4 linked regions of the Lonchura striata genome follow. The protein of the gene in region 2 interacts with the protein of the main gene of each other region in a pairwise test. Links are inferred from orthologs where the notes say so. Each region holds a gene or a part of one and is shown on either strand. Other genes may lie near its edges.

The links.
Region 1: the proteins of NCK2 (region 2) and EIF3H interact in binary tests that used the Homo sapiens proteins (3 or more experiments, as listed by UniProt). The two-hybrid records come from large-scale screens. The link is inferred for Lonchura striata from reciprocal best matches to the Homo sapiens genes NCK2 and EIF3H.
Region 3: the proteins of NCK2 (region 2) and BCL11A interact in binary tests that used the Homo sapiens proteins (3 or more experiments, as listed by UniProt). The two-hybrid records come from large-scale screens. The link is inferred for Lonchura striata from reciprocal best matches to the Homo sapiens genes NCK2 and BCL11A.
Region 4: the proteins of NCK2 (region 2) and LCP2 interact in binary tests that used the Homo sapiens proteins (3 or more experiments, as listed by UniProt). The two-hybrid records come from large-scale screens. The link is inferred for Lonchura striata from reciprocal best matches to the Homo sapiens genes NCK2 and LCP2.

What each region holds. Positions count from the first base shown.
Region 1 is NC_134603.1:15,127,414-15,134,560, forward strand, and holds the start of EIF3H (eukaryotic translation initiation factor 3 subunit H), read left to right. Parts: upstream 1-4,147; 5' UTR 4,148-4,179; coding exon 4,180-4,299; intron 4,300-7,147.
Region 2 is NC_134604.1:89,331,581-89,339,313, reverse strand, and holds the start of NCK2 (cytoplasmic protein NCK2), read right to left. Parts: upstream 3,004-7,733; 5' UTR 2,676-3,003; intron 1-2,675. UniProt on the Homo sapiens protein: Adapter protein which associates with tyrosine-phosphorylated growth factor receptors or their cellular substrates. Maintains low levels of EIF2S1 phosphorylation by promoting its dephosphorylation by PP1.
Region 3 is NC_134605.1:25,456,285-25,463,857, forward strand, and holds the start of BCL11A (BCL11 transcription factor A), read left to right. Parts: upstream 1-4,570; 5' UTR 4,571-4,604; coding exon 4,605-4,941; intron 4,942-7,573. UniProt on the Homo sapiens protein: Transcription factor. Associated with the BAF SWI/SNF chromatin remodeling complex. Binds to the 5'-TGACCA-3' sequence motif in regulatory regions of target genes, including a distal promoter of the HBG1 hemoglobin subunit gamma-1 gene.
Region 4 is NC_134617.1:14,843,376-14,850,653, forward strand, and holds the start of LCP2 (lymphocyte cytosolic protein 2), read right to left. Parts: upstream 3,012-7,278; 5' UTR 2,813-3,011; coding exon 2,735-2,812; intron 239-2,734; coding exon 176-238; intron 1-175. UniProt on the Homo sapiens protein: Adapter protein primarily involved in signaling pathways within T-cells, as well as other immune cells such as platelets, mast cells, and natural killer (NK) cells.

The sequences.
Region 1 (7,147 bases), on a different chromosome or scaffold from region 2:
ACCCTGTCTGTGTAGGGACAGGAGAATGAGAGGCTGGAGAACAGAGTCATGAAAAGGGACCTGGGGGTCCTGGTCAGTGGCAAGATGAACGTGAACCAGCAGTACCCTGGTGGCCAGGAGGGCCAACCCTGTCCTGGGGCATCAGGGACAGCATCACCAGCTGGGCAAGGGAGGGCTTGTCCTGCTCTGCTCTGCTCTGCTCTGCTCTGGGGCAGCCTCACCTTGAATGCTGGGGACAGTTTTGGTCACCACAATATAAAAAGATATTAAACCATTAAAGAGGGCAATGGAGGGCAACCAAGGTGATGAAGGGCCTTGAGGAGATGCTGTATGAGGAGCAGCTGAGGTCACTTGGTCTCTTCAGCCTGGAGGACACTGAGGAAAGACCTCATGACAGTTTACAGCTTCCTCAGGAGGGGAAGCAAAGGGGCAGGTGTAGATCTCTTTACCCTTATGACCAGTGACAGCACTTGAGGAAACAGCATGAAGCTGAGTCAGGGGAGGTTTAGGTTGGAGATCAGAAAAAGCTTCTTCACCCAGAGGGCGGCTGGGCACTGGAACAGCCCCCCTGGGAAGTGGTCACAGCATGAAACATGACAGAGCTCAAGAGGCATTGGGACAGCACTCTCATGCACATGGTGTGAGTCATGGGGATGTCCTGTGCAGCCAGAGCTGCACTCAGTGATCCTGATGGGTCCCTTCCAACTCAGCATATTCAGTGATTCTGTGACTATTATATTGTGAATTAAAACTGGATATTCATGTTAATATAACAGCTAAGTTAAATAATAATATTGAATTAACTCCATTATCTAGGAAAACTTCAGAAGTCAATGCCAGTGGGAGTGCAGCCTTCATGGAAACCTAAGGGCAGGACTCAATACCTACATGATAGCTGAGCTCGCTGGCCACAGCACACTGCCCTGAAGATCAGGGATATTATTGCATCAGCCTCTCTACAAACTGCTTGTAGGAAATCTCCCTGATCCCACTGCACATGCACTTCAGTTTCTTTGGGGCACAAGGCACATTTGACCTCAGTGTGTTTTGGTTTGGAAAGACAGGTGTCTGCTAAGGAAGGCAGGTGCCTTCCCTGAAATGTTAAAAAAAAAATATAGACCCCCTCCCTCTGGATTGTTACCAATTTGAAATTAAGGGGGGCTCTCAGGCAGAAATATGGAAGCAGGAATAACAGTTCTTTATTAGGAAAGAAAAAGATAAAATAAACAATGCAGTGAACTAAAACAACACTGACAGAATACAACTGACACCCTGTTAGTCAGGGTGTCGGCAGCAGTCCAATTGGGAATTATGGCTGCAGTACTCCTGGAGGGTTAGGTGTGGTTCTGTTGGAGCAGTAATCCTGTAGAAAAGGGTGTAGTCTTCCTCTGAAGATGCAGTAGAAGAGGCAGGTATTCCTCTGGGAAATCCAGTGCAGAAAAAGCCATGCTGATGTTCCAGAAACTCATTATATCCAGGTGGAAATGCTTGCCTCCTCCCTCTGGGAGGAGCATTTTGCAGTGGGATGCTGTAATTTTTATCAGTCATGCAGTGACATTCAATGGCCCATTAACAGCAGATGTCTCCGTGGTGGGAGGATTGGTTTGCGGAAGAGATAAAGAAAACTGTCCAATTAAGAGAAGATAACTGACACACCTCTAACAGATGGCAACAGAATACATCTTGCCTTGCAATCTCAGACATAGCAATGCTGCCATTCTGAACTGCCCCTTCATCTCCATTTAAGAATTATTTTCCCAATGGAAAATGTGAAGTGGGATCCATCATACCCTGCTTTAGACATCTATCACAAGGTGTCCTCAGCAAAGCTGGATGCCCAGATTTCTTCTGGATGCCCAGATTTCTTGTTAGGGTCAATGCAGTTTAGTCAGTGATGTCAGTGGAATTTAGGATATGTTTTGCCTTGCTGGGATGATTATTATACTCAATTCTTTGTTTCAATTTGCTCCAGCATCAATGCAAGCAACTGATAAGGACTATTCTAAGTGATGTTAGAATCGTTTTATAGGAACAGGCAAATGTTGGGTCTGTGGCCGCAGGCAAATGCAGATACGTTTTAATATTGGTCTTGATAAATATGTTCCTCACCCTTAATTAGAAATGACTGTTAACTACACTGTTGAAAAGATAAATTTTTATGAAGTCACATATTTGGCATAGTGTCTGAACAGATCTGGGGGGTTTGGTAGGGCTGCCTTTCATAGCGCGTTGCATTTTTCAGAAGGAATTTGAAGAGTTTGAAATTAAATTTAAAAAAATTCACACAAGAAACCCCTACCTCAAACAAAATGGAGCAGCAAAACCAACTGTTTTAATGCAACCCAAACTCATTCCTGAGAATTGCAGAAGTTGATAGTTCAGGGATTTGTGTAATGTTAAGAGTTGGCACTGATGTCTCGTTATTCATGCTCAGGACAGATATTCACATCACCCCACAGCAGTTTGCCTTTTGTAAAGATACTACACAAAGCTTTCAAATCTATAAGAAGTACATGTCCCTTAACATTTGCAGGTTTATTAGGCGTAAATACTTCCTCAAGACCAGAGTCTCCTCAACCATGCTGGGGAGCCCTCGCTGCAGCCCAGGGCTGGCCCAGCAACAGGGCTGGGAATTCACATCACTGTGGAATCAGAACTGCCTGAGGTGGCCCTGGAAATGCACAGATGGAGGTTTCTGGGCTGTCAGAAATGCTTTGCCAGGGGCCAAATGGCAGCTGGACCAGGGCAGTGACCCTTCCCCTCCCCTCAGCACTGGTGAGGCCACACCTCAAGGGCTGTGTCCAGTTCTGGGCCCCTCACTACAAGAAGAACATTGAGGGGCTGGAGCAAGTCCAGAGATAGACAATGGATCTGGTGGAGGCTCTGGAGCACAGGTCTGATGAAGAGCAGCTGGGGGAGCTGGGGGTGTTTGGCCTGGGGAAAAGGAGGCTCAAGGGGGACCATGTTGCTCTCTACATCTCCCTGTAAGTGGTACCAAACAGGTTCTTTCACCTGGTGTGCAAGAAGCCAATCCACACAGAGCTGAGGTATTTCATTTTTTTACACTTCTCTGCAGAAAGGGGTGCTGGGTGGCAAATCCACAAAGCCAGCAAAATGACTACCAAAACTTTTCACTATTTATGCATTTTAACAAAGGCACTAATGTTCATTCATAAGAAGTTACTTAGTTATCTTATTAATTAGTGTTCTATCTTCTATTGGTTAATGATTCTCTCACTTCTCATGTTAATTAGTCTGTATGCTAAGTCTTCCTCTTCCTCTGAGTTGGTGGCTTTCTTGAGTCATGATTTTCCACTGCTGGAATTGCTTTTTACCTCATGGAAGCTGATGCAGCACAGTTGTTGAGTTGTCCTTATTAGTTTCTTCCTCATCTTGAGGGGTCTGTCAAATGTCCTCGTGGCCCATAAATTCTGCATTCTTTGTGCCCACTGTCAATGGCACATCCTTCTTCCCAAGCTCATTGTTAACTTCCCCCTAGGTCTGAGATCACTGAAGCATATCCAGCACTAGTCCTTAACAAGGCAACAAGTATTTTTAATTTCTAATGCCTGGACATCACTTAGCCCTTGTTAGCTGCTATCTAATTCACAGATTAAGTCTCCTTTCTTGTTGATTAGGCTTGAAGATACACCAAGAGCAAATGTCAAAGAACATCTTTTCTTAATTTTCATCTCCCAGGTAAATAGCGCCAGGGTGACAGGAGCAGAGGGCATGGCCTCAAGCTGTACCAGGGGAGGTTGGACATCAGGAAGAATTTCTTCACAGAAAGGACGATTAAACACCGGAATGGGCTGCCCGTGCAGTGCAGTCGGTATGGATGGAAGTGTTGAAGACGCCTGGAGGCGGCACTCAGCGCCGTGGTGCAGGTGACACGGCGCGTCTGGGCACAGCTTGGACATCGTGGCGGTTTTACAAGGCAATGACTCTGTGGGGAGGGCAGGCGCCAGGGCGGCTCTCCCGGCCGTTCCTGTCGGATGAGCTGGCCCAGACCCACACAGGCTCTGCGGCAGCCTCGGGCCGGCCGGGCCGGGCCGAGCCGGCACCGCCGCCGTGCCGGGCCCCGATCCGCGTTCCCGCCCGGGCCCGTTTGGCCGCGCACCGCCGCTGCCGCGCGGGCGCTTCCGGCGGGCGCGTTTCCGTTTCCGGCCGCGGGCAGCCATGGCGTCGCGCAAGGAAGGCTCGGGCGCTGCCGGCGGCGGCTTCGGCGCCGCCAAGGGCAAAGGCAAGGCCGCCGCCGCGGGAGACTCGGCCGTCAAGCAAGTGCAGATCGACGGGCTGGTGAGCAGGGGGCCTGGGGCTTTCGCGGGCGAGGCGGCCGCTGGAGCCGCCGGCGGGGCCCGCCGTGGGGCGGTGCCGCGGGAGCCTCGTGTCTGCTGGGACCGGCGCCTCTCGCGGGCGAGAACGGCTTCGCGTCCCTGCGGCCGGGCTCCCGCCCTCGTCCGTGTGAGGGGAGCGGCTCGCGCCCCGTGTAAGCAAAAGCCGGGCCGGGGCAGAGTGATTTCTCTTTAAATGTCCCATTTCACCTTCCAGCTCCGCCGCCCCTGTGCCCGGAGTTGCTCTTTGCTGCTTTTCTACTCACAGTCATACCCTATTGCCAGAAAATGCCGCAGGTCTAAGAGCTGAGAGCACGGTGGGTTTTTCCCTCACCCTTGTGCTTTTTGCCTTCTCTGTCAGGGCTGCCATGACCCCCTGCGTTTGCTTAATGGGAAATAAAATAAAGTGACGGGTGAAATGACTTGACAAAGAACAGAGCCATCCTAATACAGACAATCAGTGCAGGCCTGAAGTGGAAGAGCATCTACTGAAGGTGGTTCTTGGCTGTGCTGCTGGATCTTTTTGTGTTTGTTGGTTCAGGCCTTAGAAAGTTGGTAACACTATTAATGACACAAGGAGAAAAAGTTACTTAGGGGTGGAAACATTGTTTTTTACTTCATTAGCTTTGCCAAGTGTCAGTAGAACATTGTACAGCTGGAGTGTGAAGGAGTTGGTACCCTGGTTATGAAAAATAAAATCATAGTTTTGAGACAAACTTTGAAGCCTGCTTGGCATTATTAGTGGTAGTCCTCAGCTCTTATCCTGGAGATATACAGTGTAGTAAATATTTGGGAAGATGAAAAATAATTTATTTGTGTGTAGAAGGACTTGTGAAAGAGGAAATCTGAATCCCATTTTTTCTGCCCTGCTCTGTCCAGCTATCTGTGTGCCCGTGGCTTTGGTGCATGGAGCATTTTCAAGGAGTGGTGAAAACTGACTGGTTGTGAAATGTTCGTAAAAACCCAGCAGTAGATAGCAGACTGCTCCTGCTGCAGGCTGGTGCCAAACACTTAGATAAAAGCTGGTAAATTTGATTTATGTTGCTCCTGATTGTTCTCTATCAGGCATATAATCTGCTTTGTGAGCTGCTGTTGTTTCAGATCAACTGTGAGTGTCTCTGATGCTCTGCTTCTGACAGTCCAGCAAGTGTTTAGGATTTTTTTATTTGTTTGTTTCATGCTTTTTTTCCCTTCTCCTTGTATTTTTTTCTGGTGCAGCACAGTGGTGCCTCTCACACAGTGTCACTACAGAGGGAGGTGATTTACTGAAAACTATGAAAGCTTTCAACTTTCCACCCCTGAAGATGTCTCCTAGCCAAAGTGTTCTCAGGACATTGACATTGGTTCATAAATTTCTCTGACATCTGTGATGGACAGAAACGTTGGCATAAATTTGTTTGCTTTGCAAACAAAGTTTATTCAGTTATAAGTCCTTCAAATGTCTTACTGAAATTCTTCTGAAGTGTTTCTGATACCTCACTGGTTTAAATGTCTTATCTGCCCTCACAAATTAACAGGACTTCCTCAGTCATCTTGATGATGACCAGGGTGATTACATGCCAAGAATTCTGAATTGTGATGGGCATCAGGGGAGTTGGTGATCTCTTTCTCTTCAGTGGTGTCTCTTCTCTTGGCATTGTCACAATTAATCCTTCAAATGGGGCTGCTTTGAAAGCAAAGGCATGTCTAGGTAGGCTGCTTTGGAATCTGAGGGCAAAATAGAAGATGCATCAGTTATCTCTGTATGTGAGAAGGTGAAAGTATGTTTAAAAAGCTTGGTGTTTCAGAGGAATAATAAATTAAAAAACCCCAGTATCTGTCATGAAAATAAGAAGTTCTAAATGTTATGCTGTTACCTTAATATGTAACAATGCAGCAATGTCTGCTTCTCAGACCTCTTTTTAAAATCTGGTACAGATGAAGCATCCTGGAGTTAACTTCTTTCTTACTTTAATCTTCTCAATTTCTTAATAAATACTTAGATTGAAAATAGATTCCAGTGTAGATGGCCTGGTCTTTGTAAAAAATTAGAAAATGCAGAGTGAAAAATAACCCTCCAGAAGCACATTATAAAATGTGTTTTTCTTTCAGGTGAGATGTAAGAATTCACGTATTTGTTTTTGGCCATCCTGACAAAAAGATCAGATCAAGTGCCATATATTGCGTCCTGTTGTCCTTCCTATTGTAGAAATTTGGATAGTTTTCTCCAGTCAAGGAGCCCAAAGAGAGCTTGTGTTTACAGTGGTGCACAGGCCTGGGAGAGAGTGACTGGTGGGAAAGAACCCGTGGGTGCTGGTTTACAGCAACCAAACATGAGCCAGTGTGTGTCCAGGTGTCCAAAAACACCAGTGGCCTCCTGGCCTGGATCAGGAGTGCTGTGGCCAGGGGAATGATTGTCTCCCTGCATTCAGCACTGGTGAGGCTGCACCTCAAATCCCATGTTCAGTTTTGGGCTCTCTGCTACAAGGAAGTCACTGAGGCCCTGGAGCATATCTGGGGAAGGGTCTGGAGCACAAATCTGAGAGGAGCAGCTGAGGGAGCTGGGGGTGTTCAGCCTGGAGAAAAGGAGGCTCAGGGGAGACCTCACCACTCGTTCTGCTCCCTGGAAGGAGGCTGTAGCCAGGTGGGGTTGGTATCTTCTCCGAGGTAACAAGTGATAGGACAAGAGGAAATTGCCTCAGGTTAGTATAGGGGAGGTTTAAATTGGATATTAGGAAAAATTTCTTTACTGAAAGAGTGGTTAAATATTGTAACAGGCAGCCCAGTGTGGTGGAATCACCATTCCTCAAAAGTGTTTGAAAAAACATGTAGAT
Region 2 (7,733 bases):
TTGACACACCAGATGACCTACTTTGGGGGAGCAGGGTGTCCAGCAACGAGCACCCAGCACCTCACCCCTAGGCTGACTGAACTAACCAAAACACAGCAGTGCCTGGTTTCAGTTTTCAAACTCCCTCAAACATCTCTAATGAATCCACATCAGCAATTCCCCTTCCTCAAAACACAGCAGGAGTGGGGTTTGGGAATACCCACAGCCTAGAAACCATCAGTCCCTCAATACAAACAGAAAATATTTTTCTAGAACGTATGCTTTACATTCAAAGATGCCTTGGTTTTGATTTCAAACCTGCTGCAAGTAAATTGATACAGCACCTGTCTCCATGAGTCTGGAAGCAGCTTTAATGCTCAAGGAGCATGAGAAATGCAGATACTCTGGGTAGTTTTGCTGCTGCTCAAGACCACGACCAGCAAACAGAGCTATCTGGGTATCACTTTTCAAGTTGCTACTGTTATAGTTTCTACTGAGGAAAGCCATGAGAACTGCAAAGGATTAACATACCAACAGCAACACAAGGCACAGATAAAACAAAGGCTGGAAAAGCAGCAGACACGGCTGACCTTGTCCCTCTTCTTTATATAGCAGAAGATGTGAGGTGACATGGAAGAGTGCAAACACCTTTCCTTAAGCTTTCAGACAGCTAACCAAGAAAACAGAGAAGAGAGGAAAGGGAGGTAAGTTCCCTGTCTGTAAGGCAACAAGGCAAAGGCTGAACTTCTGAATTTATCATATGTTCAGTAGTCTGGATGTAGTAAAAAGGATCATCCACACTATCAAGGGCTAACTCCGCTATTAGTTTTGGGAAAATAATGCAAAAGAGATTTTGTGTATAATTTTTTTTTTTCACAAAAGCAATCGAACTGTAATCTGGTAGAAGTAGGAGGCAAATGCAACAGCTAATGTTGCGACGACAGAACAACAGCAACAAGAGCTAACATTATAATGAATCTGTCTCCGTTTCATGGCCTATATAAAAATATTTGCTAATTACAGTCTTGATCTTCATGGTACGGGTGCCTTCTATTGCTACATTTATTCACTGTTCCCAAAAGTGACATCTTCTGTCAAAGTCACAAGAAGAAAGTCAGTTACAAAGACAAAGCAATCTGCTTAACTTCTTAAACACACTTGGGTGAGACAGAGGCTTTCGATTTCCAGAGTTGTGAAATCAATATTTCAGAGAAGCAACATTACATCAGAAATTATAATCCTAAAAATGAAAACACAGTACCATTAACATCATCTATGTGGTGCTGCTTCAGATTCCTAAAAAGCAACGACAAAACAAGTACTTTCAAACAGAAATACTTCATAATCTCCTACCCAGTGAGTCCTTTCAAATTCCTCCATATTAAGTTACCAGTCCAAACTCCCGATGATACAAACCACGCATGGTTAGGCCATGAAAATTTGTTTTTACAAAGGGCCACTACCACATTTCATGAAAGATAAGTCTAATTCTCCCACGTTAAGCTGCTAGAACAGCAGCAGTACGTTCCTCAGAAGAAAAAAGCTTCATGGGAAGAAACGCTGTTCAAGCTGAAGAACGCTTTAAATTGTTGCCGACTTTCAGTCACTGTACAACTTTTAAAACAACAAAAGGTTTCTCTTTGTTTTACAAAAACACGGTAGTTCAGAGTGAAATACTACACAGAATCCACGGAAAAACCCTTATGCACACAGAGAATCACATTCACTGTTAAAAAATAGTGGAAGATATTAACATAGAAACTAGAGCTGAGAGCTCTCATGATCAGCCAGCTGCAGGTCAGACCTGAACTACAAAACTGAATCCCGATCTGGCAACCTGATCTTAGATAGGCCAAAGTGCCTACCCTGCCAGCAAGGGGCAGCTGTTAGGCTGGGCAGATTTTTAATTAAAAACAGGGCGAGAAGACTTATAAACTTCAGTAATTTTCTTCCCAAAACACGCAGGGATGCGCTTCACTGAACACTCATTACGTGAGGTGTAATTTTACCTTTATGTCCTTTACCTATACTGGCATCGACCGAGGCCATAGCGCACCGCGCTCCTTGAGAAAATCCGCGGCCTCAGCCCTATGAAGTCGAAAGTCGGTGACGGAAAAACAACGAACTGAGCGGACCGAGGGCGATGTCCCCGCCGCAGCCCGGCGTGCTCGCTCGCCGGTCCCCGCGCGGGGCGGCGGCGCTCCCGCTCCCGCCCGGGAAACTTTCGGGGTGCGCCGCGCTCCGGCCGGGAGGCGCTGCCCGCCTCCCCCGGCGCTGCCCCGGCCGCCGGATCCACCGCCCCTGTTCACCGGAGCCCCGCGAGGGGTGCGGGGGTGGCGTCCCGGCCCGGCGCTACCCCCCGGCCGGGCGGCACAAAGCAGCGGCTGTCACACGCACGCACACACACGAGCGGCAACTCGGGAGGATGAAGAGGAGCCGCCCCCAGCCCCCCCCCCCCCAACTGGACGTGGCACAACGAACACTCCTCCCGCTCCGGGCCCCCCGGGCCGCCCCCGGCAGGTACCGGCCCCTCCTGCGCGGGGCGGCCGCGGAGCCTCGGCCGCACAGGTGACACCCGCCTTTCCCCCGCTCCCGACGCCCCTTCCCCGCGTCGTCCCCCGCGGCCGACACAAGTTTGCGGCGGGCCCCAGCCGCCGCCCCGGCCCCATCCCCGTCCCGCCCGCGGCCGCGCTCACCTCCGGCCGGCCGGCGGGGAGCGGAGCGGGGCGGGCAGCAGCGGCGGGGAGGCTCCCAGCCCAGGCGGGCTCCGCTTCTTTGTCTCCTCGGCGGCGGCGCCCGCTCGCTCCCCCTCCGCTTCCCTCTGTCCTTCCCCGGGCGGATGCGGGCCGCGTCCTCCGAGAGGGGCCGGCTGGCTCCCCCCGCTTCCCCTTCCTTCTCCTCCCGCGCTCTTCACCGGACGCGTCCAAGGCCCCGGCCCTCGGCGGCGGCAACGGCGGCGGCAGCTCCGCTCCCTGCCTTCCCTCTGCCTGCTGCGCCCGGCGGCGGCGGCGGCCCCTCCTCCGCGAACCGCCCCCCCCCGGCACAGGCACAGCCCCCGCCCCCGCCCTGCCCTTCCTGCCGCTGCCGCTGCCGGGATCGCGCGGGAGGAGCTCTCCGGGCTCCCCCTTGCCCGCCGGGAGGGCCGCTGCTCCCCCGCCCCAGCGCAGGAAGGACGGGCAGGGACAGCCTGGGTGGCTCCCTCCCCTCTGCGGGAGGACCTCTCCGGGACCGCGGGGCGGGGCAAAGGGGCCCCTGCCCGTGACGAGCGCCCTGACACCTCCTTCCCCTTCCATCCCCATGAGACCCGGGGAAGCTGCCCCGCTGGGAGCGGAAGCGCCCGGGAAAAGTACTGGCGAACGCTGAAAGACCCGGGGATGGGGGAGATGTGCGCGCTTCGGGGCTGGGCCGGGGGATGCGCCGCGCCGGGGTTCGCCCCGGGGCTGCCACGGGCCGGGCGCTTCGCGGGCCGGGAGCGCGGCGCCGCTGCCGCCGGGGAATTTCCAGCCGCGATACCGGGCGCTCCCGCCGCCGCCCATTAGCCGCGGGGCGGCCGCAGCCGTAGCTCTTCTCTTCCCGGCCCTTCTTTTCCCTGCCGGCCCGGGGCGAAGTTTCAGCCTCGGTGCCCAGTACATCAGCCGGTCGGGCGGTAATTGGTAGGTGCTGTGCCCTCGGCAGAGCGTGTGGGCACGGCAGCCACCCCAAGCCACAGATTCTGAGAATATCCTGTGTTGGAGGAGACCCACGGGGTTCATCGTGCCCAACTCTTTGCCAAGCACAGGACACTTCAGTAACTCCACCATGTGCTGAGAGCACTGTCCAAATGCTTCTTGAACTCTGTGAAGCTTGGTGCTGGGGCGCCTTTTCCAGTGCCCAAGCACCGTATTGGTGAAGAAACTTTTTCTAATATGCAGCCTAAACCTCCCCTGACACACTTCAGGCCAGTCTCTGGAGTAAGCCAATTCTGAAACAAAGCCCCGTGGCTGGGTGTATGTCCAGCCCGTGCTACCTGCTGTGCCTCTCCACTCACGGGAAAGATCTCCACGAGTGATTAAAGGCAGAGGACAGAAGCATCCCATCGTGGCCCTGGTCTCTAGTGGGAATAGCCAACCTGCCAGCTCCAGTGCTTTCCCCTTGGCACACTCCCCCCAGTAGTGTCCCTAGGCTATGGGGAAATATTATCCCTCGGGGTGGGCAGGAAGGAAGGGGGAAGCCACTCTAAAATATTGTAAACCTTTGGCATGTTTACATGCCGTATTTACATACGAATACATACATCTTTACATATGAAATATGGCAGCTCCGAGGGCGAGGAGGCTGGAGTGTTATCCATACTGGTTCTTCTCAGGAGACAATTCCTGGCTTTGGAGGCAAGACTAGGAAACACCACTCTGAATCCAAATTAAAGTCAGCAACCCTGCCACCTTGTTTTCTGTGACCAAGCTTAATATAGTAGTGAGATCTTGAGACAAAGATGTGTGCTCGGCCATCTTTCCATGCTCCTGCTTAAAATGGTTTAGAAATCCTCAAATAACTCCCTCTTCCCCTTGTTAACTTTTACAAATTCTTACAGCACTTAATTGGTGGTTTGGGAAGTTCCAAGTGCCTTTCACTTGCCTGTGAGATAAACCTGAAAGGAAAATGCAGCCACCTCTTTCTTCCAAGAAAGACTTTGTATGCACCTCGGGGAGGAACAGAAATCCCCTTTCCTGTGTTTTTGTGCATGCATTTAATTTCACTTCAGAGAGGTATTAATCTTCCTTTTGAAACAATAATCTGACCATGCTTTTTTAGAGCTGGAAAATATTTGGGGTCCCTGCTGGCTCCACCTCACAGCATGGTTAGGCATCACTCCAGCCTGCACAGGCTTAGGCTGAATTTAAATGGGATCGGTCATCCAAGGACTTTCAGATAAAAGTCTCTGTTGTTTCTAGAACAAAATGCACTGTGGAAGAGATAAAAGAGAGGTGAATTATCCCTTCCATCCTTTGCATTTATACTATACAGTTAGGTTTTGGTCTCAAGTTTTGTCCCTCTTACCACACCTTTGCTAATGCCATCCCACAATAAATCCTCCTCTGGTTTTTTCCCTATTCGCTGTTGAATTGAGGATGTCCAAGGCAAGGTGGCATGGACCCTTCGAAGTTTCTGGGCTAAGACCTCTAGAAGGGACCATTAGCTGCTGAATGAGCGGTAGCTCTCAAAGCTTTCCAGGTATCTGAAAAAAAATGATAAAACACACCTAACTTTAGCAGATTAATGCTAATAGGATTTGCAGAATAAGAATGTTTTAGGGAGGGATTTGGATGAATACATTGTCTTGAGGCAAAGGACTAATTTAAGGACTCTGAAGCATACTGTTGTTAAATATACTTAATTGCATTAAGAAGAGATCCATTAAAGCTGGGGTTTTTTCCAAAGTGTGGCTTATGACAAACAGAATACACTGTAAAAAGTGTTTGCAAGGGTTTATATGTTGAAGGATGTTTTAACTGCCTATTTGCTGAATGAATCCTTAGGTTTCCCCACAAAAACAACCAAGATGTTGCCCTGAGTAGTATTTCAAAACATTGAGCCTACTGAAATATTAATGTATGCCTTTTAAAATGTCATAATTAGCTGTTATCTCTGAAATAACTGTTATTAAGAAGAGCTGGCTGCTTGTGATTTGAGTGAGAATTACATTCTAAATATGAGAAGATGATAAATTGGGGGGAATATGCACAGAAGTGAAAGCAGTACATGATGTGGCAGGCACACTTTTGTATAAAGAAAGTAAATATGTAAAGCATGCACTTTTGCATATGCATAAGAGTGGTGCTGTCCTTACAAAACATATACACCGTAGAGAAGAGCATAAATATTTTTCCCAGCCTAAGGCCATAACTATATACTAAAAAGAGAAAAAAATGGGTGAATAATAGAAATATGTATCTATGTCTTTGGCAAAGAAACAGCATGCCTCATACCACTGTTTCAAATAGGGCTACATGCAAACCCCAGACCCAGAGGTTGTGTGATAGACCTATTTTGCAATTATATAATGGCAGTCAATTCATCTTGATGTTCATGTTTTGCACAAGGCACTAAAAAAAAAATAATAGCATGTCTTTTGGCTTATAGTTCTTTACTTTTTTTTTGCCTTTCTTTTTTCATGACTACCCATTTTCTTTCCCCTGTGTGCTGCTGCTTGGGCTTTACCACCGGCCCGGCAGAGCGGTGGCTTCCACAGGATGGGCATGCGAACATGTGGATCCCAGCCATGCAGATCCAAACCACACTAATGTGTTTACACACAATGCGGCAGGAGAGAACAACCACCTCCCAGATGTGGCTCCTTCTGCACAAATACCTGATCTTTTCTCCAGATGCATCAGGTTTTCTCACCAGCTGCTCTATCTAGAGTCTGAACTAATACCTACTCCCATAGGGATACACTTTAGCAGGGATGTGAGACAGAGGGACTGGTAAGTTGAAAATCTGGAAAACAACATTGTCCAGTTCAGAGGTAGACAGCAAAAGGTGTTTTGTCACTCTGTGTTAGTCTATTGGGATGAAAATATACCTAATCTAAGTTAATATAGGTTGGACTCCATGATCTGAGAAGTCTTTCCAAAACAATTTATTCTACGATTCTGTGATTAACCTCTTTCAAAAGCCCCTACTCCTGATTTTCAAAACTGCCTTTTAAAGATAACAATAGTCTAATAAACTCCATTTATACATGTGTGATTGTTGATACTGTATCAATAACAAATGGAAAGATAAAAATCTTTGGGCATTCTGGGGAAGAAAAAAGGGGATTTTAAATTCTCCTTAACCTGAAAAAATGCTAATTTTAATGACACAAACAACAATAACAGAAAATAACAGAAAACTTCTGTCAGTATATTTTCTCTCAAAAAAAAAAATCTTGAAGGGTTTACATCACTAAATATTTAGTTTCTGCTTAAAACATATGTTCAATTCCCATGTAGATGAAGGGGAATTACATGACCACTATCAGGGGAGAGTAAATCCCAAATACTCACTTAGTTACTGCTGAGTCACTTAAGTATATTTGCACTATGATTCTGATTCAACCTGGCGGTAAGGCAGCTGCTTTTCTCACTTACTGCATGGCTGCTGCATCTTCAATGACATTTATGAAAAACGTTGAGGGGAAGAGCGTGTCCTTAGAGCTCACAATACATCCAAATTCTTCTATTCAATGGACCAAAGCTCCCCAAAGGTGCTGTAAAACTGCAAGCTAAATTTATCAGCAGATCACATTTAACTATGACAAATTCTATCGTTATCTTTTGTAGACAGTTGCTGAGATTCAAAGTATTTATGTAAGGAAAACAAACCGGTGTTTTGGGCTTTGGAAATGTCAGGGCCCTTGATTCTTCTGTTTATTTAAAAGTGGATGTGTGCTGAGGGACATCTTTTGAACTCTATTCAAAGGTTAAAACTGATCTTTCATACAGTTTTGAAATTCAAAATATTTCTGTTAAATGTTTTGACTCTGCTGTGTAATCTCCATTTTGCACTTAAATACCAAATTCCATCTAGTGTTGGCTGTTTTGCACAGTGCAGAGACACAGTCATTGCATCTTCCAGCCATGAAGTGCAGCCATTTCAAGGGAGGGGCACAGCCCCCTGACATGTGCCACAGCTGTGCAGACCCAGTGGTGCAGATATGGCATTCCACAGCTGTGGTAAGTTATGTCAGCAAAATGGTATTGCCCACATTGGACTTTGCTCAGGACTGCTAC
Region 3 (7,573 bases), on a different chromosome or scaffold from region 2:
GCCCTGTCTCTGCTGCCAGAGCCGGGGCCAGCTCGGAGGCAGCTCAGCCCCCTGCGCCCGGACGCGCCGCGGCTGACCCTGCTGCCATCATCAGCCTCTCCGGCAGCGCCGGGGGCCATCCGACCCCCTTTCCGCGGGGTATCCGAGCCCAGGACACTGGCGGGGGCGGGGGCCGTGTCTCGGGGGGCTCAGCCCGGTCCTGCGGCCGGGGGCGGCCCCGCATCCCTCCCCATAGCGCCCGGCGCTGGGCTGTAGCAAACTCCCTGGCAAGAGCTGTTTGTTGACCACATTCACGTTCCGAGCCCTGAAGCTAAAAGCACTTTACACAATAAAATAAAAGCACTGTCTTTTTTTCTAAAAGGTTACGTCTGGAGGCCACGCTGCTCATTCTTCATACAGAAAACTACTGAAAGGGCTATGAAATCCTCTATGATTTACACTCCCTCTCAGTGCATTAGGATATAGATCTACTCGACTCTAAAAATACTGTGGAGTTTCTAACCGATGTGAATATATGTGCATTATTTCAGAAAGTCTGTTAGAAAACTTGTCAACACATTATAAAGCATAAACCAGGACTTAGCCATTAAATACAGAGATCAGAGACAAAATGTATGCGGCAGGAAGTACCGAGAAAAGTCCCTTCATTCAAAAAAAGTATATTAGCTAAAAGTTTACACACAATACACATCAAAAGGTTTGAAGCGAGACCATGGACCTCAATTACAAGGCGTAAGTGGAATCAGTAGGGGCTTTACAGTCCCCAGCGCAGTTAACTGGGCTGCCAGAAAATAATTTTAATATTGTCATAATTTATTACCCACCGAAAGCCAAGGATTGTAAATACAGTCACTTTGTGTCCAATGAGTGCTCGTTAAACAGCCTCGTTCCCTTACCCTAAAAATACAATGAAATAAAAACCCACCTGCATTATTAATCTGCGGTCATGCCGTGTTAAAAATGTCTTCTCACTCCTTTTCTTTCTTTAGGTTTGTTATCTCCCTCCAATCACATGACAATGCGAAGCGCTGTGGGGTGGGGGGGGGGGGGGTACAGGAACGAGGGGGAGACAGCGCTATTGCGATCAAATGCTAATATTAATAATTATCCAGCCGAGATGAAATATTATTTTTAAGGCAGCGAGTTTCCATTTAAATCGAGGCATTTTTACGGTGCTGGAATTAAGGGCATGCTGATGGTAAGAACATCCTCGCTGCTATTCATGAAAGCATCTGTAAAATTAGCTCCTGACTGGAGGTTTTGAGATGCGGTCTGGGAAGTCACCTCTGGAATCTCAAACACGGTACGATAATAAAACAGATTTAGTTGTCACCAAGTTCTTAATTTGCTATGATTTTTAAAAAAGAAAATCAATGAAACGATGCCTGTGATTGGGAATAAGCACAGATAGGTGTTCTGATGCAGGTTGGCTTTAGAGAGCGTAATGAATTGTAATTCAGAGGAGTGTTAACTGCGAACCGCAGAACCTTTCAGGGGTAATAAAGTCATTACTTTTTACATTGCAGCCACCTTCAAAAGCTTTATACGTGCCATTAGATATAAATCAAGCCCCATATATATATATCTACATCTCCGGTACAGACACCCACACGCCTGTGTTTCGCGCAGGGACATGTGCACGCCTGGCACAGCCATCCCTGCGAGCGGCGTGAGCTCAGAAGCCACCGCTGTTGTCACCTGCGGCTGGGTCCCTCCGCCACGTCCCGCATCCGCTCCCGCACCCTGGCCCGGCAGCCGCGGGGAGCATCCCCGTGCCGGTGGATGAAGGAGGGGAGCGGGAGCCAAAAGGAGGAGGGGGGGGGGCGCTGAGCGGCGACGGGCGGAGCCGGGGGGCGGCTGGCGGGAAGCTGAAACTATCCCACGGCGGAGCGGCTCGGCCCCAGCCCCTGACAGCTCCGCCGGTGCGCGCCCGGGCTCGCCCCGCCAACAGGTCCCCGCCGAGCCCCGGCCCCCGCCGCCCCCTCGCTCCCCCGGCCGGCCGCGGCTCTGCCCGGCGAAGTGTCCCTTACGGCGGCGGGCAGCTCCTCGCCCCGCGGGCTCTCGCCCGGCGTTCCTCTCCGGCTGTCCGCCGCCGTCCCAGGCACGGCTAGCCCTTCGCACTCCCCTCCACAGCCGTACTTTGCTCCGCACACCCGTTCGCCTCCAGAGCTTATTTCTACCGCAACCTGATCCCTCCCGGTGCCGGCAGCATCCGCCTCGCTCCCAGTCCTTTCGGTGAAGTTGCAGCCGCTGCCGCCGCATCCTCCCAACTCCAGCCACTTCTCGGTGCCTCCTGCCGCCTCGCTTCCCCCACTCTCCCGCCCACCCCCGTTGCCAGCCCGCTGCCCGCGCCGCCCCGCCGCCAGCAGCCCCACGTTTCGCTTTCGTTCAGAGCGTGTGGCTGCGGGCAGGGCTCGGAGCTCTGCCGGGGGAGGAAGGAGGGCTCCGGGGCTGGCGGGCGCGAGCAGCCCGCGAGGTCCCGCCGCCCTCCGCTCCCCCAGCGCCCAGCTCCTGCGGCTTCTCTTCCCCTGCCTGCCGCTTCCTCGCCCGCCAAACTCCGCTCGCTGCTCCCCCGCCCGCCCCGGGGCAAGGGCCGCCGCTGGCCGCCGAAGTTTCCCGCGGCCCGGCCCGAGGCCCCGCCGCCCCCCAGCTCCCCGCGGGGCCGCCGTCCCCCGGGGACTGGCCGTAGCTCCCGGGAGGAGGGGACTCGGCAGCTTCGAGGAGGATGGCGGGGGGGGGTGGGGGCGAGCGGGGAAGCCGGGAGCCGGATGCCCCCCCCCGTTGCTTTTTGGGTGGTCTCCGGTCCTACCTGGCTTCCCCCAGCTCCCCCATCTCCTCGGCACAGCCCGCGGCCAGCCTGCCCCGCAGCCCTCTCTGCCCGGCTCTGGCTTCACCGATGTGTTTGCTTTTCCAGCGGGGGTGTGCGTGCGAGAGCTGCCGCTGCCTGCCTGCCTGCTCGCTTTCTCCCGCTCCTTTTCCTCCCCTCTCCCCGAGTGTGTGTTTAATTTCCGCCCCTCGCCCCTCTCCTGGGTCCCCTCTTGCACCCGCTCCTCCGCGGCCACTCGCGGCTCCGGCCGCCGCCCCCTCCGCCCCCGGCCCCTCGGCTCCATTCGGCAGCGTGCGCCGGGCGGCCGGTGCACCCCCCACCGCCGCGCCCCCTCCCCTCTCCCCCCTGCGATCACTGTCCATTGGCTTGTCCTGCTCTCTTTTTCATGTCCAGCCCCTGATGAGTGTCCATTGGTGTTGCCTTCGCCTTCCCTCCTCCCCTCTCCCCGGCTTGCCCTGCCCATGTTTTGTATGTCTCTGTCCATCCAGGCTCCTGACGTTCAAGTTCGCAGGGACGTCACGTCCGCACTTGAACTTGCAGCTCAGGGGGGCTTTTGCCATTTTTTTCATCTCTCTCTCTCTTTCTCTCTCTCCCTCTCTCTCTCTCCCTCTCCCTCTCTCTCTTTTTTTTCCTTGCACAAAAAAAAAAAAAAAAAAAAAGAGCCATGACTGCTATCCCACAATTCATCTTCCCTGCGCCATCTTTGTATTATTTCTAATTTATTTTGGATGTCAAAAGACATTGATGAAGATATTTTCTCTGGAGTCTCCTTCCTCTCTAACCCGTCTCTCCCGATGTGAACCGAGCGACTCACAAGCCACCGAAGCCACCAACCCACCATGTCGCGCCGCAAGCAAGGCAAACCCCAGCACTTAAGCAAACGGGAATTTTCACGTAAGTAACCCGGAGAGCAATTTATTTAATTTACCCTACACTGATTTAATTTTTAATTCGAGAGAGAGAGTAGGGAAAAAAAATTAAAAGTGAGAGCCATTGAGCGAGTCGGGGAAAAAATTAACTCAGCGCCGGCTCGGGATTCTCAGCATTCCGGGCAATTTCTGCCTCTCTAATTTAATCACCTTGATGACTTTTCTTCTTTTTCTGCCCGTGCCCCTCGCCCGCCGGCGCGCACTCCGCTGCCCCGCTCCACGCTCTCCTCTCGTCTCCCGCTCTCCGCGCTCTTTGGCGGCAAGAGCGGCAGCTCTCGCCCGGCACCAGGAAAGGCGCGGACGAGGTGCGGGGCTGCCGGGGGCACAACCGGCCGAAAGTGGGAAGAAATTCCTGCGGGAGCGGCGGGCTGGACGCCGGACACGGCGGTGGCCGGGCGGGCGGGATGGGCGGCGAGCGGAGCGCGGAGAAAGTCCGGCGGCCGGAGCCCCCCCGACTGCCGGCGGGGTCGCCCCCTCGCCCCGCGGCTCCCTCCTGGCGGGGGGGGAGGCAAAGCCGAGCCAAGCGGGGACGCCTCCCTTTTGTTTCCGCCGCGGGGTGCGGGGTGGCCGTCCCGCCGCTCCCCGCCGCCTCGGGCCGGCGCCGTGCGGGGCTCCGTCGCCCCGACCTCGCCCCGCGCCCGCCCCGCCGCCGCTCCGGCTGGGGCTGGGGCGGGGGACGGCACCGGGCGGCGAGGGAGCCGAGCCGAGCCGCGCCGCGCCGGCTGGGATTCCCTCCTCGCCCTCGCCTCGCGTTCTCCCTCTCGCTTACTATTTTTTGGAAGATTTTCAAAAAAAAAAAAAAAAAAAAAGTGGAAGTGGATTTTGATTGGGAAAAATCTCGTGTCTGAATGTTTACAAGCACCGCGTGTGCGGGGAGCCTCCTGCCAACAAACACAGGCGAGAGCGAGCCCGGGCTGAGCACACACGCGCGCTCACACGCACACACACACACTCGCACCCTCACACCCGCGAACGGCCCTTTCTCGCCGCCGCATTTCAACCCCAAACCAAATGCGCTCTCCCCGGGAGTGAAAAAACAAACCCCGAGCCCCACCACACCGTTCGCAACAAAAACTCTCCGGCTCCCTCCGTCCCTCCCTCCAGCCGCCGCCACACACACCAGGGCTAGATGCAAGATAAGCGGGAGCGCTCTTTTCACAACAAAAGGCAACTCGAGCTGGAAAGGTTTGGGGCGAGGGGGGTGGGAAGGAAGGGCGAAAAAAAAATATCCCCTTTTCCTCGGGGTGAACCTGGGGGAAGGGGAAATGCTGCATGTTTTTCCTCACTCCTTTCCTCCCCTTTTCTTTATTTCTTCCTTTCTCCCTCTCCCATTAGTCCCGACGGGTTTTGTTCCCTCCCAGGGATGGCAGAAGACCCAGGGCCATTTCTTCCTGCCAACCATCCCCGGCTCCCTCGGCCCTTCGCAAAGCCCCCCAAACTTTCCGCCGCGGGTTCTCTTCCCCCACGGCCGCCCAAACATTGCAGTCAGGTTCGCACATGGAGGGAAGGAAGCAGCGCTGGCTCTTTGCAGGCGTCCGCTCCGCCGCGAGCAGGGCCGCCCGGGGGCTCTGAGTGCCCAAAGTCTGCCCTAAGAACCCGGGGGGTGTCGGGGGCTCAGCCCCTCCCCCCGCCGTCTCTTTCTCCTCATACTTTTCGGAAAGCCTTTTTTTTCCGCCTCTTTTTTTTTTTTTTTTTTTTTTTTTCATTGCCGGGCTAGGGATGGGGCGCAGCATCGCTGGCATATGGGCATGCCTCCCCCCCCGCCCCCGGAAATGGGGTACGGGGGTGCTTTTCCCGGGCAGTCGTGGAAGTGGGATGCGGGGAACGGGGATCGCGGCGGGACTGGAGGAGGGGGTGGGGGGCTCAGGCTCGGCCCCCGGGGCAGCGGCGACGGGCGGGATCCCGCGGCCGGTTCTCGCCGCCGACAGACCCGCGGGCCGGCGCGGAGTGCGCGCACGTGCGGGCCAGGAGCGGCGGCCGGGACAGGCCCGGGGGGTTCCTCCGGCGAGAGCCGCCCCGGCGATGGGGAGGGGGGTGTGGGTGGGCCGGGAGCTGGGGGGGGGAAAGGGAGGCCGGGCCGAGGGAGCGGCGCGCCAGGGATGCGGCGGCGGGGCCGGGGCCGGGGCTGGGGCCGGGGCGGAGGCGGCGGGCGGGATCCGTGCCCGCTTCGGTCGCTAGGAGGCACAGCGAGATCAAACAACCGGGCAGCCCCGCGAACTTGAACCTGGCCGGCTCCTCCGCTGCCTCCCGGCCGGCGGGAGGGGGAGGGCGCCCAGCTCCCTCCCATCCACCCCCCCACCCCCCCACGCCCCTCTTCCCTCTTCTTTGTTCTTAATTTGCGCGGAGTTTGCTTGCTCCGGGATGTAGCGGGGATGCTCGCCTTCCCCCTCCCCGGGTTTCCCCTCCCTCCCCATAACGTGTTGGCGGTTCCTATTGTGCCCCCAAGTCTCCCTTTCCTCGCACCGCTGTGATCCGAAGACACAAACTTGGGATTAAACAGCCCTTCTCCATCCTTCCCACGGTACGGTGCAGGAAAATGCCCCAGCAGCGCATCTGCATTGCCCCGCGGGCATTTCTCCTCACCGTACTGTGGCACCCCCCTCCCCGCCCCATCACCCCCAGTACCTCCTTTCTCCCGGCACTCCAAAATCCATCCCTCTTTTGCCGGTGCGGTTGTTCTGGTGGCTGGGAACAGGGAAAAAAAGGGGGGAGTAGGAGGGCGAAGGGGGAAAGCTGAAAAGACATGTTGGTGGAAGGGCAATTTGCATGAAAAATAGAGACGGATGATTAGGGACCCAGCCAGAGAATTTTGATTGCCCCAGAATTAAAAGATGCATCCTGCAAATCGGAGGCAAAACCAGGTGAAATCTGGTGTTTTTTTCGTAATCCCGGTATTTTATATTATGTTCTAAAAGTAGCAGTAATAATAAAAAGCATTTTTTTTTCTGGCTCTGCCTCCATCGGGAGCCAAATGTTTTGCAGCGAACACAGTGCCAGCCGTATTTCATACTTTGGTATATAATTCTTGTTAATTAGCAATAATTTACGTTAAGAGCATAGAAAATGTTGAGGTTACAGGTTTTATATCTGTACATTTGATCATCTTGTTATTTTCAAGAACTTTGCCTCCTATAAAATTAATTAGGTGAAATGTGGAGGTGTAATCAGCAACCTCTGAATTACCACTTCATTTCCTGGTTTTGATTGTAAATCAGCCCAGTCCGTACAGACTTTTAGCAAAGTCTTTTTTCGCTCAGTGCCACTTTTAACTGTCTGGTGTCGAAGCAGCGGGTTACCTTCCCCTGCTAAATAATAATGACAGCGTCAGAAAGGAATCAGGAAAACATTATAATTGAGTAATGATTATGCAGAGCTCCTCACTAAGCCAGTTGCAAGGGGAGCACGGGTGGTTTTGTGTCGTTTTGCTGCGAAGAGTCGGTGAGATCGAAGTTAGATTTGCAAAATACCTTTGTCTGCGGCGAGCAGCGAGCTACCGGTGGAATTAGACCTGAAATAATTTATTCCCTCGGTCCGAACGCAAGGATCGGCTTAGGGAGAAAAACGCCATGCCCGGCAATCCCTCAGAAACACCCCGCTCCTCTGCCGGCTTCCCGAGGAGCATGAGACGCACGTTGTGCCTCCTCTCCTGTTGGTCTGTAAGTTTAGAAGAAAGCCCTAGCGATTAAGACATTGTTTTTATTAATACGAATGTAACCTTCATATTCCTGTGGTTGACCTTACGTTAAATTAGAAGTAGTACTAGAGGCAAGAAATGATGGACTGGATCCCTGTGTCCTAGTTGGAGCTGAGGTTTGGT
Region 4 (7,278 bases), on a different chromosome or scaffold from region 2:
CCAGCATTGCATATTTAAAGCAAGTTGTCTGGCTAATTTTAGCAAAAGCATTTACCTCCCATATTTATACCTCAGTAACCACCTGGAAGGTGGCTCTCCATCTGCAAAATAAGGAGGAGTCTCAAACATCACTTAGTTGGAATTTTACAGGAAGGAATTTTACAGCTCCACTTACCAAAAACCTTTGTCCATTTATGCTGTGCTTCCTCACGACTTTCTCACAGTCCTTATACTTTAGCTGTCAATGAGAAGAAGATGATTGTTGCACCCTTAACTCTAAGAATTAATTAAGACAACATATGTTTGGCTTTGAGTAGATACCTTTTTGTATGCTATGGCCCACCTAAATGGCTCATTTTGTCCCATAAACAAAGATTTTTATGACAGACATCCTTCAGTGACTTAAAGGCTTTCATCCATTTAGGAACATGTTATTCCTCACACTTAGAAACCACCTCACAGCTGCCTGGCCCAAAGAAATATTTGAAAAATGGATTATTGTGGTACTGACTGGGATGAGCAGCTGCAGAAGTAAAGCAAAAACCTGATTATCCAGGAATACTAAAGCTGACTGATCCCAGTCACAGAATTCATTGTTGTGATCAAAAAGCTTTCACTTCTGGATAGAAATCTCACTTGTTAATCCTGGAAATTATCTATAATATTTGTAAAGCTTTTCCACAGTATTATGACTTCCAGTAGCATTTAGGACAAGGATATGCTCTTTAGAAGCTGCTCATGTACAGGTTGAGCACAAAGCAAGGCATGACTTTTAAACATTAAACAGTTGTCCTAAATTTGGTTTTGATTGGGGTTTTTTTGGTCTTTTTTGGTTGGTTTTGTTTGTTTGCTTGTTTTGGGTTTTTGTTTGGGTTTTTTGTTGTTGTTGTTGGGTTTTGTTTGATTGATTGATTTTTGTTTTGGGATTTATTTTTTTTTTTAATTTGAACTGTAATAGTACAGTGTAAGAACACAATTTATAGCTTAGATCTGTTTCAAGTTGGTCAGGTCCCTATCAGAAGGAGCCCAAAGAGCAGACAAAGAAACTTTTGGAGGCTCTGAGACAAAAGAATGACTTTTATTCTGTCTGAAACTTCAGTGGTGAAAGTTCTGCAAACGACCCTGTGCTGCTGGGACAGCTCCCCTACAGCAGAGGTTTCCCAGGGAGCTTCATGTGCTTTGTAGCCCTATCCCAGTTTTCATTTTAAGGTGTAACTTTGTAACTTCGGGTACGGATCCTGGAAACAACCGAACAGCAGAGAGGATATTTTTAGGAGCTACCTTCAGTTATTCATATGAAAAAACTCTGGTAAATATTTTAGGATACAGATTAAAACTTCAGTGCAGACTGAAGACTTAAACCTGTATATAATTTCTTTCCTACAGTGAACGCTATTGTGATGTTACCAGCACAAGTCTGTATGCAGAGGGAAGCAACACATCCCTGTGATTGAGACCTAATCTCAATCTTGAAGTAATTGATTTAAAAATGCTCTTTAGGTATTAAAAACAAACCTTGGAATATCCCAAATATGAACATCTTTGCTTTTTCTAAACCAAAAAAAAAAATCAGAAATTATTTGAAAATTTGGTTCATTCATCCTTTATCTCAGAGATAATATCTCTGAGTTTATATAGATCTCTGAGTATAGAATATTCTCAGAGTTTATCTCAGGGATAAGCTCTGTTCACTTGTGACAGTAGCCCAGAGCCACCTGACTTGGGCTGACATTCTTGTCTCACCCAGATTTTTTAGATTACTTAAACAGCTTTTGTCCTGATTTAGCTCCCAAGAGTGGAATGCCAGTATCTCCATTCTGGATCTTGATCCATAGAAGGGAGGCACTGCAGATAAATGTGCATTCAGTGATGGTAGAACTTACAGTTGATCCTTTTGTCACTGTTCAGGATATTACTATCAGATCTTTCAGAAAGCCGTTTTTTGCCTTCCTAATTTCTTGGAAATGGTGGTCCAACTTTGCTCTGCACTGCTGTTGTAATGTTTTTCGTACTTGTCTGAAGTTGCCTGTTGATAATGATCTCATCTATTCCATCTCCAGTTTTTGGTTTCACTTTCCTGTGCCACTAACTCCTGCACCCTAAAATTAGGGGCTTGTAAGTAGTTGGCAGTTTCACTTCTCTGGAGATTTGGTAGACACAGTTTCTATGTTTGATCTGCTTATCTTTATTAAGTAGTTCTGCATTCCACTATCAAACTTTCCTCACCTCCCTAGATAAGACTCTCACAGTTATAGGAGCCATTGAAAAAACAAAAATAAACTTCACATTATTTCAAAATTAAGCCCGAGGTGTGCCAAGTTTTATAAGTCTAGCCAGGGATGCGATTAACAAAGACATTCAGAGGCTCATTTGTTACACCCAGCAATTTGGAAAAAAATATCACTTCTGAAAATGATTGAAGATTAAACAGAAAACTTGTAATCTTCACACCTTAGTGCCTTCCGCAGCTGTTAACGTGTGTTACACCAACAAGCATTGTACTAACCTGTTCCCTTGCTCTAAGTAAGCCATGAGTTTCTCTTAAACCCAATTTAAAAATCCCTTTCAAGATTCATTTTCGCTGACCAGTTGAGCTCAGCTTCTCATTTGACAGCGGTTTTGCTTTTAGTTCTGCAGCAAGCTTTGCCCATTACAAAAGATCTGAATTTAGCCCTACCAACGTTCCAGCAGTTTGCTCCTCCATCAGATGAAGACAAACCAGGGCCAAACTCACCGTCCTGAAATATTCTGCTAAGTCCTCTGGGTCCCAGGTGAGCACGTCGGAGCGGTAGGGGACGTTCCGCAGGTCCATGGTTGGTGTCCCCCGAGGCTCAGGGAGCGTTCACAGCCCTGCTGCCAGCGACACTGCCATGGGCTCCCTCTCTGTGGCCACCTCCAAGGAATTTCTTGCCCAACCTCCAGCTCCTTCTGTCAAGGAACTGCTCTGGTCAATTGAAATGATGCTGTGAGTTCGTTCCAGAGAGACACTGCTTCCTCTGGTACAAAATGGTCTCTACTCCGAGAAGTTTCAGCTAGTCAGCCTTACCACTTCCTTTCTCTGAATATAAATAAGTAAACAAGGAAGCACAGCAGAGGGTTGAAAATGCTCTGCCTGCTACACAGAAATAAATGCCTATGGACCCTAATTGCTTTTAATTGCATTACTCACATTATACATGCATAAAAATATTGTAATATTATTTGCATAGGTGTGGGTTACTCTTCTGGTAAGGCCCCACTAAGAAGAAAACATTGACTTAAGAGAAACTGCTTTAATTTACCTCAGTACCTGAAATATCCTTATTTGTACAATTAAAGGTTATTGTCAGAGCTGCACATAATGGGGAAATAATGAATTAATGATGGAATTGCAGTCAATATCCCTTCAAATAAAGAATCACTCAGTGAAACTAAAAAATGTACAAGTTTAGATGAAAAATTATTATGTTGCCATTGTATCAATAGTTCATTTTTTGGCTACTTCTTATGAGGATTTGGTATCTGAAAATGAACCCACAAAACCATATTATTACCACAGGGATGTGATAAATTTTCATCTGTCCTGCACAACCAATTCAGGCACCCTCCTATCAGTAGGTGCCTTTGCTGAGATTACATAGAGTAATTCCAAGTGTGTCCTTTTCAAAAAGAGCCAGCATGTCCATTCTCCCTTCTCGTGGAACTTGTGCTGTGCTGCTGTGAATCCTTGGCCTCACTCCTCCATTAGACTGCACAAAATTTCTGAGTTTCCTGGACTGGTAAGAATAGGTGCATAGTTCTGAAGCGCTGGGGAGGAAATTTCCTCTTCATTTTATGGAGAAATGAAATGCATCCCTCTTGTCTCCAGTCACTGACAGCCTCCTAGCCTCATGTCTGCAGGTGTGTTGCACACGAGTGCATGTATTTGAGATCAAACCTACCAGTCTTCACTGTAAGAGTTTTCCTTTTGAAGTTCAGAGTCTGATTTAGAGTAGCTTACTTTTTTTCCTGTAGAAATTCTGGTAAATGATGGCAGCATGGTATTTAAAACGCTCTGGAATTAAACTGCTGTCAGAGCTGTTCTAAGAAGAGTAGCATTTATCAAATACATGCTACAGCTGTGTTTTCTGGGTTCTTACTTGAAATTACCTATGTGAATCATCTGAGGCAGGTCCTGACAATATCACAGAAATATTATCACCTCTAGGTCTGGGGATGAAATAGGACTGAAGGAGCTGGTGCCAAAGAATCCCCAAAGGAAAAGTTGCTTTGCTGGTGCATTGTCAGCAGTGGTAAAGGGGAGGTTACATAACTACACCTCAGACATCCCATCACAGCCCCTGGATCTCTCAGGGAAACAAGCAGGAAGGCAGGGAGAAGCCTGTGTTAAATTCCTAATTGCTTATTCTCAGATGTGTCTCATTACCCTCTAATCTGGTTTCTATCCCAAACCCAGTGTAGCAGATCTAATTGCAATTGTGTTACTCCTTATTTGTACTAATATGAAATTAATTAGTCTGGTCAAAATTTATGCTGGTGGTGTTATAAGGAGAATTACAGCATCATTTATTCTGATGCTGAGAAAGGAGGAAAGCAGTTACCTCTGAAGGCAATCTCCCAGCATCAAGAGCAGCTAACACAGAAATTCTAACACATGTATCTATTATTATTTGTTTGCATCCTGTCTGTGGCACTGTGTGCATCATAGCTAAGTGCAGATTTCATGCATTTCTTGCAAAACCCAGCTGCACACGAATGTGAGCTCTGTCTTTCTCTACAGCTTCTTTTGTAACATCATAAGCACATCAGATGTGGTGTCTCAGTAAGGCTTGCTGAGGAAACACCACTTTGTATTTTCTATATATGAATTTTCAGATATACTCCTACAGCAGCTGGCAATCTCATGAGATGGATTTTAAGCTCTTGGATTTTCAAAAGCTAAGGAACACTGCTATTATCGGGAGCATATTTTTTTATTAAGATTTTTTTCCCCTCTTTTTAAAAACACTAAGTGTTTCATAGGTATTTTATAGCCTGCAGTGACACAACCTTCACACCAAAAAAAGCGTCCCCTCAATAACAGCTGCCAATGGTAAGACTTTTCTGATGCAGTGCTGGTCTGGTGACTGATGATTGAAAATGTGAGACTCAAACCATTTTAAGCAACACAGGGGGGAAATTCACACTGCCGACATTCTGCTGCCTTCAAAGGGCAGCAACATTTTCCATTTTCTCTCACCTCTCTCTGGTGGTCTTCTGTCTCTGTTTTAAGTGGAGTCAAGGGCTTTGAACCACTTTCAGAAGGGTTTACTTTTCTAGAGTAACTCAGGTTACTCCATATCCCTAGAGCCAAAAAAAAAAGTTCAAACCTTGTGAGAATTTAATCTTCACGTTCATCACATCCCAAAGAAAGTGGATCTTTATGAAGTGGTTTTCTTTTGTCCTGCCCACATTTGTTTTAAAAAGACTGGGGTAGATCCTTCCTTTTACCCTGGAATGTTTACCCTAGACATCCTAGAGCTGCCCTTTACCATGGCATGCCCAGTGCCCAGGCTGTGTCACCTACCTGTAACTGTGAGAGGCTGAAGTGTCAGCGTTAATTTGGTGCTTTGCTGGGGCCAGATTGAAGGGAAGGAGAGGTTTTGGATGTGTGGTGGACAAACCTCTGATCCTAAGAACAACCCTGGTGCAGAGGGGGTTCAGATATTTTCTGAAATTTTAGATATTTTCATCACCCACCTTGGGAGGATGAGCACAACAATCTGACCTTTGCTTAGCAGTGAGCTGGGGTCAGAGCCAGATAAGGGAGATAAGGGAAGCAGACCCTGTGAGGTGGGATAATGCTTTTTACCACATCAATGTCCTCCCTTACACACCTGGCTCAGGTGTAAGTTAAACTCCTCCTGGAGAAAGTATCAGGATATTCACATTCACACCTAGGCCAATTTGAAAAAGCAATTTGTAGAAATGGAACTTCCAGGCTTCCTCCCCAGCCAGCCCCACTCTGGTGACTGCCAGTGCCAGAGATGGACCCTGAATATGAGACTTTAATGGGAGCAGCACCTGAGGTAAATGTTAACCAACCTCCCTGCCTCTGGAATGTATGGCTTGAATAAAACTGTCTGAGACACTGGCTTCAAATCCAATTTCATACAAAGCAAATGAAAAAAAAGTGTTCTCTATAGGAACTCAATCCTCAGCAAAGACTTTCCTGGATGGAAACAAAACATGCACACTTGAAGCATCTTTTCCCGTGTCAGTGAATTGTGTTACTCTGAGCAGGTGTCAAGATGGAGTTTAGGCAATTCCGAAAGGCCTGAAATCCTAAAATACAGCCACTGTAGAGTGCAGCTGGATTCTATCCAGAAACCAAAGAGAATCAAATATCTACTAAAGTCCTGTAAAAAATAAGGCAAATACTTAGAGATATTCTAGCAAGAGCAGTTTGCTCAGGAATATGTTTTGTTCCACTCTGTTTGGGTCATAAGTGGCATTATGTGTCTGGTTTGTCCAGAAATGCTGCAAACAAATGCAGAGAACACTTAGGGGACCTCAACAGAGCTGTCTGTCAAGGAAAGACTGAAAAAAATGCTTGCTAAGTCTGAGAAAGGGAAGCTGGAGATGAGGGAAGGAAAAAAGAAAATAAACTTTGTGACAACTAGCAGTCAGTTGTTCCCATGAGCTGTGAAGGGCTCTGCTAACAAGAAAAGCTGCTGCAATCTTGAGAAGGAGGAACTGGGGACTGAAGAACTGCTCCAGTGTTTGTGCTGCTCAGTGCAGCTCAGCAGCTCAGTTCAGGAGCTGCCAAGCAGGGTCAGCTGTCCTGTGACACAGAAGGGGCCAAAAGGACACCTGGAACTGTTCTGCTTTGGACATGACCCTCCTGAACTAACAGTGCCTTCCAGGGACAGAACTGCCAGTGAACACCACTTTTGTACCTGAGGTCACCAGTTTGATGGAGACATTGGAGCTTAAGTTAAAGCATGTTAAACACACACCCTTTAGTCTGGCTAACTGCTCAAACCCTTTCCCCCTGTGCTCACAATTTCTTCCCCAGCTCCAGCCCAGGGGCAGCTGCCAACACCTCGGCTCTGCAAGGCTCCAGTTACCCCCAGGATTTTTTTTCCACCAGCCCAGCTCCCTTTTGCCATCCCAGCTCCTGCTCTGGTTCCCACCCCAGCCCTGTTCCTGTCCCCACTGCAGGATTGGGCTGTGCTGGGGAACTCCCACCTCCACTGGAAACCTGAGTCTGTGGGAGCTGCTGAAGCCTGAGGAATTCTCATTCAGTGCTTCCATGGC